Linked DNA regions of Neodiprion lecontei. The protein of the gene in region 2 purifies or fractionates together with the protein of the main gene of each other region. This does not show direct contact. Links are inferred from orthologs where the notes say so. Each region holds a gene or a part of one and is shown on either strand. Other genes may lie near its edges.

What was found. The genes of interacting proteins can lie anywhere in the genome.
Region 1: the proteins of coatomer subunit alpha (region 2) and coatomer subunit beta fractionate together in Homo sapiens (co-fractionation; 6 studies listed by BioGRID and IntAct, with this or other methods). This does not show direct contact. The link is inferred for Neodiprion lecontei from reciprocal best matches to the Homo sapiens genes COPA and COPB1.

What each region holds. Positions count from the first base shown.
Region 1 is NC_060265.1:2,314,628-2,322,944, forward strand, and holds coatomer subunit beta, read right to left. Parts: upstream 6,057-8,317; 5' UTR 5,861-6,056; intron 5,527-5,860; 5' UTR 5,513-5,526; coding exon 5,145-5,512; intron 5,063-5,144; coding exon 4,729-5,062; intron 4,636-4,728; coding exon 4,347-4,635; intron 4,274-4,346; coding exon 3,933-4,273; intron 3,861-3,932; coding exon 3,587-3,860; intron 3,518-3,586; coding exon 3,150-3,517; intron 3,068-3,149; coding exon 2,929-3,067; intron 2,844-2,928; coding exon 2,538-2,843; intron 2,397-2,537; coding exon 2,161-2,396; intron 2,030-2,160; coding exon 1,799-2,029; 3' UTR 1,251-1,798; downstream 1-1,250. Other genes in the region: transient-receptor-potential-like protein, read left to right, coding at 1-52, 145-384, 518-862. UniProt on the Homo sapiens protein: The coatomer is a cytosolic protein complex that binds to dilysine motifs and reversibly associates with Golgi non-clathrin-coated vesicles, which further mediate biosynthetic protein transport from the ER, via the Golgi up to the trans Golgi network.
Region 2 is NC_060264.1:35,963,622-35,969,794, reverse strand, and holds the start of coatomer subunit alpha, read right to left. Parts: upstream 3,477-6,173; 5' UTR 3,349-3,476; coding exon 3,269-3,348; intron 2,329-3,268; exon of another isoform or gene 2,131-2,328; coding exon of another isoform or gene 1,018-2,130; intron 930-1,017; coding exon of another isoform or gene 897-929; exon of another isoform or gene 823-896; intron 1-822. Other genes in the region: uncharacterized protein LOC107217266, read left to right, coding at 897-929, 1,018-2,130. UniProt on the Homo sapiens protein: The coatomer is a cytosolic protein complex that binds to dilysine motifs and reversibly associates with Golgi non-clathrin-coated vesicles, which further mediate biosynthetic protein transport from the ER, via the Golgi up to the trans Golgi network.

The DNA of each region.
Region 1 (8,317 bases), on a different chromosome or scaffold from region 2:
ACGCGTTGCTCGTCTTGCGGTGCTCAAATCTGCGGGTCATCGCTGGGGCCAGGTGAATTATTCCTACCAGTTCTTACTGGAAGACTATAAATTCAATCACAGAGATCGCAGGACAATTTTACGTAAGTTTCAATCCGGGTCCAGGTCGTCGGCCGGGTAGTTCAAAGCTCGCAGATCGGTAGAAGCAACAGTCACGCGTCTCTGCAGAGCCAGCGGAGCCTGAAACGGGCCATGGAGGAGGCGCGACGGCTTGCCGCGAAGAGCCCGCTGCCACCGGTCAGTCCCGTTCGCCTTCCGGACACGTCGAACTCCAGCACCCTCCACATTCTAAAGGATGTAAACGAAACCGACGATGAGAGAGTCACAGTCACCCCAGAGCCGAGTGTAAGCGATTTGACAATCATAAATCGCGGCGGAGAGAGAAAGCTTACTCAGATATGGATTGTTGAATGATTGTTTAATGTATAATGCGCGAAAAAATACGGGTTATATGAAACAGCGTATCTTTTCCGATCAGCTGAGACCCCCGGCGGTTGTTGGATACGTTGATGAGAAGCAGCCGAAGCCTGTAAAACGGAGTCCCGGTCGAGTGGTGAAACCGCTGACGTCGAAGATCTCGGATCCGAAGAAGAACAGAGCGCGTGTCAGTCCGGGGAAAACTCCACGGCAGCAAACGTCGTCGCCTTTGGCCGAAAGCGTGGCGAACAAAGTTCCGGATGTTTCTGTTACCCCGGACACTCCGGAGTTAGGGCAGGGAACCGAGAACTTGAACAACGATAAACGACGACTGGTCAAGCCGGTACCTAGGTCGCCGCGGTTTGCGCCGTTGAGATCACCAAGGAGAGGAGGAGGCTGGCTCTGATATCTCGGGACGGAGTTTAGACGCCTTTGGCAATTTGCAGAGTGCCTTGTACAACACTAAAAACAATTAAGGTGATTGCGAAGATCAATATCTATTTCTTTGCGAGCCGTTCGAAAGTGGGACATAAGTAAAACGCGTTCAAGAAAGTTTCGCCTAATTAGAATGCGGCGGTGAGTTCGGCTTATGGCACAGTATTAGCAAATTTTTCATTCGTTGTAATACTTTTAAACACTGTCCTGATAATTTATTATATATCTATGCTTATTAACAAGCCGAAAAAACATCTTTTTAGAACAATCTTACTTAAGAGTATTTAAAGTGGTGCGTCCCAAACAAAACATACTTATAGTATTGAGAGAAGGGATAGACTGATGATGGACGTCACATGTGCGTACTTAATCTCTGTTTTATTTGCAATACTCTGGTACATTGTTCATTCTCAATAAATGTATATTATGTTATGTGTTGGCATAATCTATGTATGTACCGCATATGTATAGGTTTCACTTACAACGAACGTCCCGACATGAATAATATTGAAACAAGATACTGGAATAATTTGCTAAAGTCCTAAGATGTGTTATTTTATGTTCATTGATACATGAATGTATAATCATAATAATAATAATAATAATAATAATAATATTAACAAATGTTAGAAATGTTACAGAAAATCATATAGTCAACGCTTCCAACGCCGGTCAGGTGCATGGACTCAATTGTCCTCCGGAGTCACGCGGCTTTTTCGCTTAGTATAGATGAAAATGGAATCTCCAGTAATCTTCGGATTCGAAATTTGACAATTCGTTCCGTTTTCAGTATCATTATGCGTAATTTATCGCGGGCAGAGAGTAACGGCCTATTTACTCGCGATCAATAGCTGATGAATGATGTTGCAATGAATAATAATCATAATTCGAATAAATCAGACGGTGCTCAAGCAGCTTGGACGAGTTTAGTTTGAGGCCCCTTTTGCGTCGAGTTTATCTTGTCGCCCAATGAAAGCGCCATACCTTGGCTCTTAGCCCTGATACGAATGTGACCGACAACTGGAGCATCCTGTTTGTGCATCGGTTTTTCAATTGACAAATTTGCGAGCGCGTCTTCGCCAAATATCGACTTTGCGTACATGTTTGCAGCCATGAATCCACACTGGCCAGAAAGAGCCTGTTTATAATAGAATTTATAGAATTAGGAATACAATATTTGAAGAAGAAAGAAACGGTAGAAGATCGTCAAATAACAGAAGAAACTTTATCTTGCTGAAATAGATTCATAAAAATTACAGTAAGCCATACCTTTTCGGGCGTGAGACAGCGCATGTTGGTCGACTTAAGTAGGTGGGCGAGGTATTCTCGGAGATCTGACAATGTCGTGTTTACCGACACCTTGTTCTCCCATTCAAACTCTGACCACATACGCCTGAAATCACTGTCGGTACATGTTGCTGGTACTATGTAGTCCATTATGTCTATGTGAATATCATTCAGGACTACCACGCTCCTGTCCGAACCGGCGCCTGACACGTCGTATACTGCAAGATGAAATTGTCATAATTAAGATTCCGAAGAAGTTCCCCAACCAGACGATTGAAAATTATTTGTAGGTAAACTAGCTTGACGATATCTCGCAAATTCTCATTTAAAGATTACTAAAGGGGTGTAAGAAAACGTACCAATGTTTCCGAAGATAATGCCGTTTTCCGTCGACGCGACCTTTACGTTCGCCTTGATACTGGCAAAGTCTCTTGGCGCCAGAACTATGGGTTGCGGTCTTTCTACGAGTTTAAGGTCACCCATTGTCGCGAGTTCTAACGTGCAGTTTTGGAGGGTGTCTTCCGTCTGATTGACAACAAGAACGTCGAGGACAATGTCGTACTGGTTGACGTGGACCAGAGCTTCTGCGTATACGGGATCGGAGAATCCTGTGAGCTGCGTTACTTTACTCAAGGCGCTAGGTGCCGGTGCGTCTCCTGCCGCGCCTGAAATATATTCACGAATGAAAAATCGATTTTCGTAAATTTGTTGGTTCCGCGACATTGTAAATAAACATTAAACTCTTTATACCTGGCCTGCCAGCAACCGCCACGCTAAGACTTTGCTCGAAGACGTCTCCCGCGCCTCCAGTGAGATCCAAATTACGGCTGAGTTGCAGGAATTGGATTGCATCATCAACTTGTACGATGCTGCCCGGCTTTTCCTTTGCCTATTAATCGAAAAAAAATTATAGCCCGTAGATTAAATTGTTCCTATTACTTCCTTATGATCGTCATGAGAAAGCACGCTACCTTTTGAGTTTGCGAGTCTTCCTCGGCTTTAGCAGCGAACATTCTGCTGAGGGCGTCTCTACAGCCCTCTGTGAAGACCTTTTGAATGATGGGTGTAGGACAGGCTAGTGACCTCAGGCACACGGTCAGTCGTTCAGCATCGTCGTGGGTCATAGCTTTAGTCGGAAGCCCGGATCTACCGAGCTGCAATACACCAGACATAATGAGCATCGCTTCTGCTTGCATCCTGTTGCTCTTTGTAGCATCGTTCTCGAGAGCTTTGTAGCGCAGTACAAGCTTAGCAAGGGTTGTAGCAAGGGAAGCACCAATGAAAAAGTCACCATCCATCATGTACTGGACCAGAGCTGGACGTTTTTCTTCTTTTTTACCTGAAAGAACAATCACAGTGCAATATTCGCCCATATTTTGTAAAAATTGTCTTTAGAACATGAACTGACCAGTCGATGCTGTGCTAAACGCACTCTGGCTAGCATACGTTCCATCCGAGGTTACAAGCTGAGCCGGGTTTGCTGCTGAAGTTGGGGCAGCGCCGTCTTCGGCCGGCTTGTCACCAGCCGCCCTCTTATTCTCTGCCTCGACTAAAGGTAGCTCTCCAAGCGCGGCCCTAATGCGACTCATTACAGCTTCGATGTCTTCTTTTGAAACTGCATACTCTCCAAGGATCCAAAGAGCTGCACGGTGTACTTTGACCGACCGAATTTGTGGAAATACCTGAGCGAACAGGAGACAGAAAAATTAATAATGAAGTGACATTCGATAAGAGGTAGGGAATGAGATTCTTACTTCTAATAGCTTTTCTATAATGAGTGGCCTGAGTGGCTCAAATCGTTGGATGGCTTCACGAACGAAAATGAGAACGTCAGTGGCTGCAGCTTCGTTATTTTCAGAGAGAAAATCAGTTAGAACTGGTATAACAGTTGCTGCAACATCTGGGAACTTGATTGAACAGGCGTGTAGGGTCCTAACCAGGAGCCGACGGTATCTACCAGCATCTTCGTGTTCCCCACCAGCAGTCCGCATCACTTCTTTCTTAAGCAGCTGCACCATTTCGTCAATGGTTCGATTTGATACCAGATCCATTGCCAAGGCAAGGGTTTTTGTCCTGACTTCAAACGCCGGAGATCCTAGAAGATGATTTCAATCAGGTAAAACTGTAAATCTCCAAGAAATTCTTGAGCAGCAAAGAGCTAAACCCACCCAAAACTCTAAGCACATCCATTACAAGATCCTGTAATACTCTTTCATGGGCAGGGCTGTCCTTCATGGCAATAAGTCGATCCAGAACAATCAACTTCACATTATTGTCACTCTCTTTAACTACCAGTTCTACATAGGATGCAGCAGCAGCTCGTATTGCTGTTGGGGCACTAGACAGGGTAACCAGTGTACCAGCAGCTTCATACCGAACAGCCGCGCTTGGTGAGTTTAGCAAACTATAGATGCAACGGATAAATCTAGCTCTCTCTGATGGATTTGCATGGCACACCTGCAAGAATAATATGAATTTAGAGTTCGTAAATACATTGAAATATGGACTTTGTTTTTTCTTTGAAAGATAATTAAATTGCAGAAAGCTTACCTTGTAAATCAGTTCGACGATAACAAGCTGAAGGATGTCGCCAAAGCTTGGAACTTGGTCAAGACAAGCAGCTAGGTAGGAAAGAGCTCTGCTCTGATCAGCATGGAGCAGCATGAGGAATGCATTTCGTCTACAGGACATATCCTGCTCACCGTCCAAGTATTTTGCGATTAACTCTGGAGCGTCCGGTATGAGAAACTCAAAATTACGGTATATTGTGAATATGGCTAAAACTGCATTTCGCCTAACGTACGAATGCCGATGCTCCAAACAGGCTATGATCGCAGGCATCAGAGGCTCCAGAAGTTCAGGCTCCTTGAGTTTGCAGAGAAATCTAAAAGATTAGGTGTAAAGGATGACGTCAAACACAAAAAATTTAACTGCTAGGCAAGAGCTAAATAAGAATCTGAAAGAACCTCAGAGTGGATCCCCTGACAAATTCGTTTGGATGCTGCAGGTCTTTTCTGTATGCATCGCAGACGAGAATCATTTCCTGAAGTAGTTTGCCATCTGGAGAAGTTTTTGGTACGATTTCCCAAAAAATGAGTAGCAATTTTTTAACCATATGGTCTTGCAATGGTAGCACGAATCTTATAATGGTCATTAACAGCCCAGGGAGCCTTTCGCCACTGATAATCATGTGTATCGTTCTCTTGAGTGCTTCAATTTTAGTTTTGGTGTCACCCTTCTCCAGATCGAGCTTCAGCTGGAGCTCGTTGATTGGCTCCGAATCCATTGGAATATTTATCAGTGTGTAGCATGGCTGTTCTGCAATACTACTCATGGTGGAAATTGGGGCTGAAATTAGAAAAATAAAATACTGGATTTTTCACCTCTTTACATATACTATAGTATCAAGTTCGTGGATGAATCTTATTCTAGTTTGGAGAATTTGACACATGCACTGAAACCTTCAACAGTCCTCCAAAGTGTCAGTATATATAGCGATGTGGGAGAGAAATATTCAAGTCGGCAAAGGACAAGGAAAAGCTGCGACAAACCATTTACTCAGACAGCTCATTTATTCAATTTAATTCAAAGTAATTCTAGGATGGGAGGGCCGGACGGACACACATGTAGGTTATGTTTGCCTTAAGTCGCGAGCCTCACGGCCGAAGAAGAGCATACGTACGATTTCCTCCCGCGTTCTTAAGGAGCAGAAGCTGAGGCAGAGATTCGTCGTGATTTAAAAACGTGGATTAATTGTACCAAAATATAACGCCGCTGAGTAGTTCCGAAAGGAACGACAGCATTTAAAACTGATTCGTGACGAAGATTGCGGACGGCATACGTGTCATACGGAAGTTCGGGCCGCCGTCGTGACAAGCGAATGGCGCGCCAGGGAAATTTAAAGCTAGCTCAGATATTCGAAACCCTCTACTTCACGTTAGCCAGAGACGGGCATATTTAGGTTAATCAAGAGGGAACGGAGTCCCAACGCGGCGGCCCATAAAAAATGAGAAGTAGCGTTGATTGAATATTGCTTGGGACGGGCAAGCTGAATTGAAACTCGACGCAAGAATGTGAGGCGGGGAAGAAAGCCTCGGTAAAGAAATTTCCTACTGTTACCCACTCAATGCCCCCTAATCAAATCGATAAATAAAAGATACTGCCATTATCTCCGCGCCCACGTTGCACTTGTGCTTGCTTCGGGTCCGTTCTGATATGAGCTTCTGGAGCTGTCAACCATCGTTTATCTCTTTTGCGCTGCCGTGTTCGCGGATAGAACCTTTGGCCTAGGGAGTTTTTAGCGCATCTAGCTAACGTCGGAACGCACCCAACAAAATAATGCCCAGGGCTGACTGTCTGTAGCAATCATTAGTCAACGAAAGAAGATGTTGAATATGATTTGCATGAGTTGTAATGTTTTCTGGTAAAAGGAGGAGATATTGTTATTTACGTCAATAACAGTGGATCAAGTGTCTGTACTTGACGAAAAAAGGAAAGATTGAACAATGATGTCGGTACACCAAGGCAGTCGTGTGGGCATTGCACATCACAACATACTCACCTACTATAATGGTAGATGGCACTAGATGATTGCTTATCTTTAATGATAATTAATACGTGAAATCGCGAAGCTGTGGGAAAACAACGTTTCCACTGAGTTAGATTTGATATAGTGCGACAAAGAATTGATTTTGGCATTATCTTCAAAATTTTCACCGGAAGTCGAAAGGAGTTGACCTTACTTGTTCTTGGAACAAACAATCTTTCGTCTCAGAATCGATTTGTACGAACATTTCTAGACTGATTGGACCCTCAGGATCATCAAAAAGAGCAAAGGAACATCAGCAAAAAAATTACGAAGATGATCTTTAATTTTTCGGTTGTAAATCTTAACCCATTGCTCGTAGCGTATTCGGACTGCGCGCAATCGATCCTACCCGCAAAGTTACGTTGATATGGTAAGTACGTCAAAGAAATTATTCCAACAGTTTTTAAAATGGTGATAATTTCCATGAAAAATCCAATGGGCCTTTGTTCGGACCAAAGTAAGCGTTACTATTCTTGATTTTTAGACTTAGCATTTTTTTTCACAGACTCTATTCGTAGGACTTACTGGATTAATTGGACCTCAAGGATTTCCAAAAAGGCGTTTAAATCATTGGGAGATCAACAGATGAAAAGATAAGAATATAACGTGGGAAATTACAATTGTTTAATCATTTTAATGCGGGTTACATGAAACAGTGACAATATTATTATGTGATACACAATATATCGTATCTTGCAGAGGTGCGTTGCGTTGTTACGCAAGTCGGATCTTGAACGATACTTATCATAAGTAACTACAACAATGACACTCCTATGTAATATTTTATCATATTTTGCTTAAGATGAGACATATTGCACGCTGTTTTTCTCTTGTATTCGTCAGATTTATAGAGTAATGATCGACCACATTTTTGTTCTTCTTTTTGTCTTTCATTTTTATACAATGTGGCAACTTGTCAATCACTGCACACTGACACTCGAACACTTGTAGTAGGAATAAGTGTTATTACATAAACTTGAAGTTTGGAACTATGGATTTGTGATTTTTTTCCCCTATCATATTAGAAATACTGTGTGAATTTCTTTGCAATGTCCGTAACATTTATTTTGTGATTGAAACTGATGAGCTTTGCTTTATTACGATTTTTTGTGAAAGTAATTTTTCGGACTGACATCAATTTAAAAGACTTTCGTCGTGATAAGTTGTGACTATGGAATGCAAGAAGCGCATCTGAAACAGCGATGGGACAACAGCTACTGATTACTAGGAAGTTTTACGGTTTTTCGGCCGTAACATTTGATGCGTTGATCGCAGCGTATCGGGACTGCGCCCAATCGATTTCTCTCGCAAAATTACGTCCGATCAGTGCTACAATTAATTGATTCCAGCACTTTTCAAAATCGCGAAAATTTTCGCCAAAAATGGAAAGGGGTTAGCCTTACTTTTTTTTTTGGCAAAAAACTTTTGGTCTCAGATTCGATTTAAACGATCCTTATCCGACCAATTGGACCCTCAGGAACTCAGAAATCGCAGCGAAAAGAGCGTAGGACCAACAGGAGAGAAATGGCGAGCGAAAAAGCACCTGCTGAA
Region 2 (6,173 bases):
ACGAATTCAATAATTATTTTGCAACCTTTCTACACTGACCGATCATTAAAAGTCTCAAGGCTCTGGACCAACTTCAAGGTTTGTCTTTTGCCACGAATTAAAAGAATAGTGCGAGAGAAAGGGAACTCGTCACAGGAGATAATAATTTCAGGTTACACCCACTCAGTGTCGCGGAAAAAGTTTCTTTATACTTGTTGCACAGCGAAATCATGAGGCCGAAAAGAATCGGACGATATGCAGGTAGTCGGCTATAACATCGAGACGGGTCTTTGAACTCGGTTCGAAGAGGCAGCTGAAAAACTATTTACTGAGTAGAGTCAACGACTCGTGAAATAATTTACATGACTAGACGCTAAAAAATCTTAGCGGTACTTGTCCTAGGTGTGAAGAGCCGTGCTGGTATAACTACCTTGGTTAAATTTCTTCATCAACGATGCATCAACCTTACAAAGTGATCATTCATTATTTCTGATCAAGAATTTATGATGATGAGTGTAAAGAATGATATTCGATAAAAGGGATAAATCGATTCTTCCTAGTGTCTGTCATTAGCATTAAAAACGCTTTCTTGAAAATGTAAAAGTAAAATATACGTTCGATGCACGACAATTTGTTAGTGCAGTCGACGCACTGGGTGAGTCAGTGAATATATGGATCAGGATTTTACATTGTTCGGTTTATTCGCCGAGTAACGGCGAAGAAACAAACCGTACCCTCGGGCCATACGGAGGAACCGGGTCAGAGGCTTGACGACAAGAGTTTTCTGGTAAGTATTGTTGGTGGGGTGTTTGCTCGTGATCCTAACGGAGTTTATATAGATTACGTCGTCTCCGACAAGACTGGCAGTCTTTAGGAGTTCTTCGATCAGTGCAGTAGTGTTGATTAGCTTCAACAAGATGTCGGCTATCTGGTACTCCCCTTTGTGCTTAGTAAGTACCAAATTTCTTTGATGTTTATCGCGCCGACGGCCATGACTCTTCTTTCATTTTCCTAATTAATTTTTAATTTCTCACGCAGGTTCTAATATACGTCGGATCAGCGCTCGGTACCTTCCAGTTTCCGTACCCGCAATTTCATGCTCCTCTGTCGCTCACCCCGCATCTCATTTACAGTTCGCCGGTCGGCGGAAATGTTGATTTTGCGGGTTACTCGTACTTCACAAAGGACTTCGCTGGCGGGCAAACCGAAGTCGTTTTTGTCACTGGGCCGGAATCGGATGTCAAAATGAACAATGAAGTCAGTGCTATGCGCGATCAGCTGAGTTCGATGCCATTTATCAAGGCTCCAGCCTCCAACCTTGGCAATACTGAAGATGACAAGAAGGTGAAAGTCGCGGAAATGAACAAAGAAACAACAACGGCCGTGCCACTTGTCCCGGTTGATACGATAGAAACTTCTACGCCCGTCCCGAAGGATGATGCGTTGTCTCCAGCCATGAACCCGACGGAAGGCACGAAGCAAGACCAACCAGATGAGGTGTTCATCCCGGAAAAGGGTGTCGGGTTCCAAGCGCCTTACCCTATCCTGAGACTGCGAGGTTTCAATTCCTATTATCCTCAGTTATCGTCCGGATTCTCTAGCTATGGGCCGTCGAATTACTTTGGATCTCAGTACGAGCCGTTCTACAACCAGTACAGCTCTTACCAGGGTCTCTATAATCCATTGTACCCGACATTTGAGGAATACTACAATCCGCTATTTCCGTCGTTGCATCATAACCCGATCTTCACACCATCGGTGAACAATTACATCTCCGGGGAGTCCGAGGAAAGCATGCCAGAGGATTTGAAAGAAATTCAAGATATGATTCCGTTGAAGGTCGGCCAGAGTTCCGGAACCGGCGAGAAGGTTGAGAGTACTTCGGAGCAGTCTGCCACAAGTGACGTGATTTCGGGAACAACCGAAGAAGATTCGTCCAAGGATTCAGTCACCGTTACCGATCAAGCAATGTCCGCAAAGCTATCTGAATTACCAACGTCTACTGAGCAGTTGACAGAAAAATCCGCAGAAAGTTCTACAGAGTCGACTACAATCTCCGCGGAAACATCATCGCCTTCAAGCTCGACTGCAACCGAATCTGTGGAACCAACTACTCCCGCGGTTGTTAGCGATTCCATGGCTGTTGCTTGATTAATTAATATAACCATCGGAAGTTAAGTTAAATTCACTGTTCAAGGCAGTAGGAGACGGCTTAGATAGCCTTGAGAAGTTCAGATATTTCTTTTTTAGGCAGTCTAACTATGAAATAGCCCTTTCCGTGTCTTAAATGTAACTTATCACATTGACGTGTATATATTGGGATTGAATCGAATAAAAAATTATAATTTACTTTTTTCTTTTGTACATCAAGACTGCCACGTTTGCTTTATTTCGTTGAAAGATTTCCACACCAATGCATCCTCTTTCAGTCCGTTGAAGCCAATTTTGGGCGACCTATTTCTAGGGAACGGATTGTTTCAATTTTTCGAGAAGTAGTCTATTGTGTAAACTACAAACCGCCAGTAAGCCATTTCAAATTATTTACTATAGAAAGTAAAAGACACTGTTGGGCGGTCGCTTTCGCGTTCTCCCTAAGTCCCTATTAATGGAGCCATGAGACATGCTAGATAAATAGGTGCGCTAAAATATTTGTCCGATAATAATTCGTTAAGAATTTCCGAGTTATCAATAAATTGTATTCCGAAATGTACTCGCACGACCGTCATCATCATTTTACAATTGTTGATCAATTCTGTTAGAGACACAAATGCGGTCAACTTTCGGAATGTGCCGCTAGTATTCGAAAATTGGTAGCGGAATTAAAAAACACGAATCAAGTGATTCGTAGGTCAGTAAGTAGATTGTTTTTTTTTTGTATTTAAAGTTTGGTTAAAAATGTGACAGAGTTGTCTTTGAATACGTAAAATTTTAATACTGACAAGGAAAAATTGAATCTGTCTAGTAAACAAAGCGGCAATTACTAAGTATTTGTATACAAACCCTAATCGACCGAGCGCTTATTATCTCAAGGAAGGTTAGGTTTTTTAGCATTGTAGGTTATGTCAAAAATTGATGACGTGTCTGTCCGTCTGCTGCGGAATCACTTCAATTACGTCGGCATTGTAAGACACCCGGTCAATTGCTTGGGTATTGAGTGTTGCGTCTTGAACTGAGACCAACGTTCGGTCACGAATAACATCCAATTTCTTACGTATAGAAATTACTAAGTGAAATTTGCTCTAAGCCCTTGCCATCCGACAAGACGGCATGTACGTGAAATATATCTCACCTAACAAGGATCCAGGGCCTCTTAGGATGAAAAGACAAGCCCTTGACGCGGGCGGATTTTGTTTCGAACTTGGTCAACATTTCGTAGGTTTTTTCTGCCTGGAATTCTATCACAATCGCATTATCGACAGCAAGATACACCTAGCGATACACTTAGACACGTCACTAGCAAACTTGACAGAATGGCTGCTGATGGCTGTTACCCAAGCTGTTACCGACGCCCATAAGCATTGGTCGGTTTACGATCATAGACAAACATGCTCATGCTGCAAAACGATGCGTGCAGAGGCACGCTACCTAGCGGAGTTTCGTAGAACAAGTCAGACCGCATGCTTACACATGCGTTGACCGATATATAGGTATATTCAAATTTCGAGGGTGCATCGCTCTTCAAGTAATTCAGGAAAGTTACTCATATCCTGAAAACCGTCAAAAAAAGTGTGGTTTTTCGACACGTCTTACTTATATTTCCATATTTCCTACATTTCAGGGGCCAAAAAGCGCACAGCTGAGATACTTTGCGCAATTCCAGGAAGAATGAGGAGTGAAATGAACTATCGTAAAACTGTTCTCACGCAATATTGAGGTCGCTAGTTGAGAACTAGAAATTACAATAATTTTGTAAATAAAAGAAGCTGTCACGATCAGTTGGGCGCGCGGCAACACGTTCCTTGGTTCGCATGGTCGCGGCAACTCGACGCGAGAGCATTTTTCAACCCACTGAACTGTAATTTCAGTGTTTGAATCCTTTTAATTTGTTTGTTTATTTAATATAGGAAGAAAAAAACATGAGAGCTGTCATGGGACAGCCGGTACGAACGAAGTTCCTTACGCTATATTACTGCTCATTGAATAAATTAAGAACGTTTAATTGAAGAATAATTAAATGAAAAATCAAATATATGAAGGAATGGTAATAAAATCGTACGAATGTGTTTTTGAAAGATATAAAAAGAAAGAGAGGCAAAGTATAGACGTACGCTGTGAGAGAGCGCGCTGCGGCCCAAAGTATAGTTGTACGCTGTAGGAGAGAGAAAGAGGGGCGAAGTATAGTCGTGCGCTGTGAGTGAGAGAGACCGCTGCTGCCGTCTCCCACCCCAAGCGCTGAGACAGAGAGAGAGAGCGCGCGCACACGCTGGAATAGAGAGAGAGAGAGAGAGGGAGATCGCGCGCACTATAGCAAACGAGCACTATAGCCAAAAAGTGTCGGTTTTTTGGTGTCGTTTTTTTCCGCCTAGCCCCTACGGTGAACGAGCGATAAGGAACTTCGTTCCAAAAAGGGCGAGATTGCTCGGTCAGTAAGAGTAGGACCACTACATGACCTTAAGTCCGTAGTTTCTAGTTATGGAGGATTGTGGACGCAACTGAAACCGATAGAGAAAGACAGCTATGTATTCCTTCTCTCCCACTGTTTTTCCGTCTTTCTCTCCAGCGACTAGCTGGAGACCCGAGCGCGACAATATTAAGCAGGTTTAATGAAACTGACTACATATGACCTGCATTTTCCACTTGATAGTTAAAAAGTCAGGACCGCCAATTGCTACTGCAATTGCGTATAAAAATTTTATACCTTCCACACTAACCTGATGAGCTCTCTGTTTGGTCATTCTAGCGCTATAAAGTACCTACAGTATCAAGAATGTAGGTTGAGATATATGTAATATCTTTACTTATTATTAGAAGGGTAATTGACGAGATGGTTCATACGTATTGCAATAATTGTAAATACGACGAATGGCATGCTTGGCGGGATATTGTAAAGTATATTTGAATACAATGGAATAACGTCACCACACACTGTACATACATGCTATAAATTATCAAACTTACTGCACATGCGGTCACTGCAAATGTTGCATGGCCAACGCGACAGTAATAAGCTTGACGTCACAAAGTTCACGTATTTATAATATTTAATTTCATAATATGTACAGTTTATTATTTTACATGATGTTTGCCTTAAATTACAATAATGACACGTGCAACGCGCGCCTATTATCGCTTCCAAAACTTTAAACCACGGATAAATTGATGTATTGTCGATTTTACAGTGTGCTCTCGCGTTCCGTATACAGTCTATAATCTATTTGGTAAATATTATAAGATATTTCAATTACATCACTTATATATTAAACGATGAAACATGATATGATGTAAGCACAATATTATTTGCTATTTCGTTACCCTGCGAAGGTATACATCTGTTCTTGATTTCCGAAAGTAATGATTTCCTGACACGTTTACATTATATGCATTCAAATGCCTTCAACAATAATAACATAATATAATATATGTGGTTGTTATCATGAATAAATTTATTTCGTAAATTCTGTCTACTCCTTCGTCCCATATTTACTTTTTAATAATGGGACCACGAGTATTACGAATACTTGCTGAATTTCTACTCAATGATTTGCTTGAAGTAAGAAAAAGAGGGGAAGAAACAGAGAAAGAGAGAGAGAGAGAGAGGGAGAGATAGGTGGCGAAATCACCTGTATGTATTAAATTTGTACCAGGCAGTCTTTTGTATTACCATTCACTCGGCAATACATATAGGTATGTATATTCTGATTGTAATATTAAGTTGACCAAACTGCGAACATTTTGTAATTGCTATTAGTTTAGAATTTTTTCAAGATTGCTTCACTGTATATGCATATATTTGCAAAATCTTTCAACAGTTTTGGCGATAATTTATTTCTTTTTAATCATACGAAACTTTTTTTAGACTACGATCAGGTTGTGTTGCAGTGTATAAGATATAATGATGACGGATAGTTAATATACATATAGATTTTAAGACGTGTAATTATACTGCATTATTGATATACATAATACTATAAATAGTAAATAATTTTAATTATGCGATGTTTCGTTATTGCTGTTAATTAATGCGGTAACTGTTC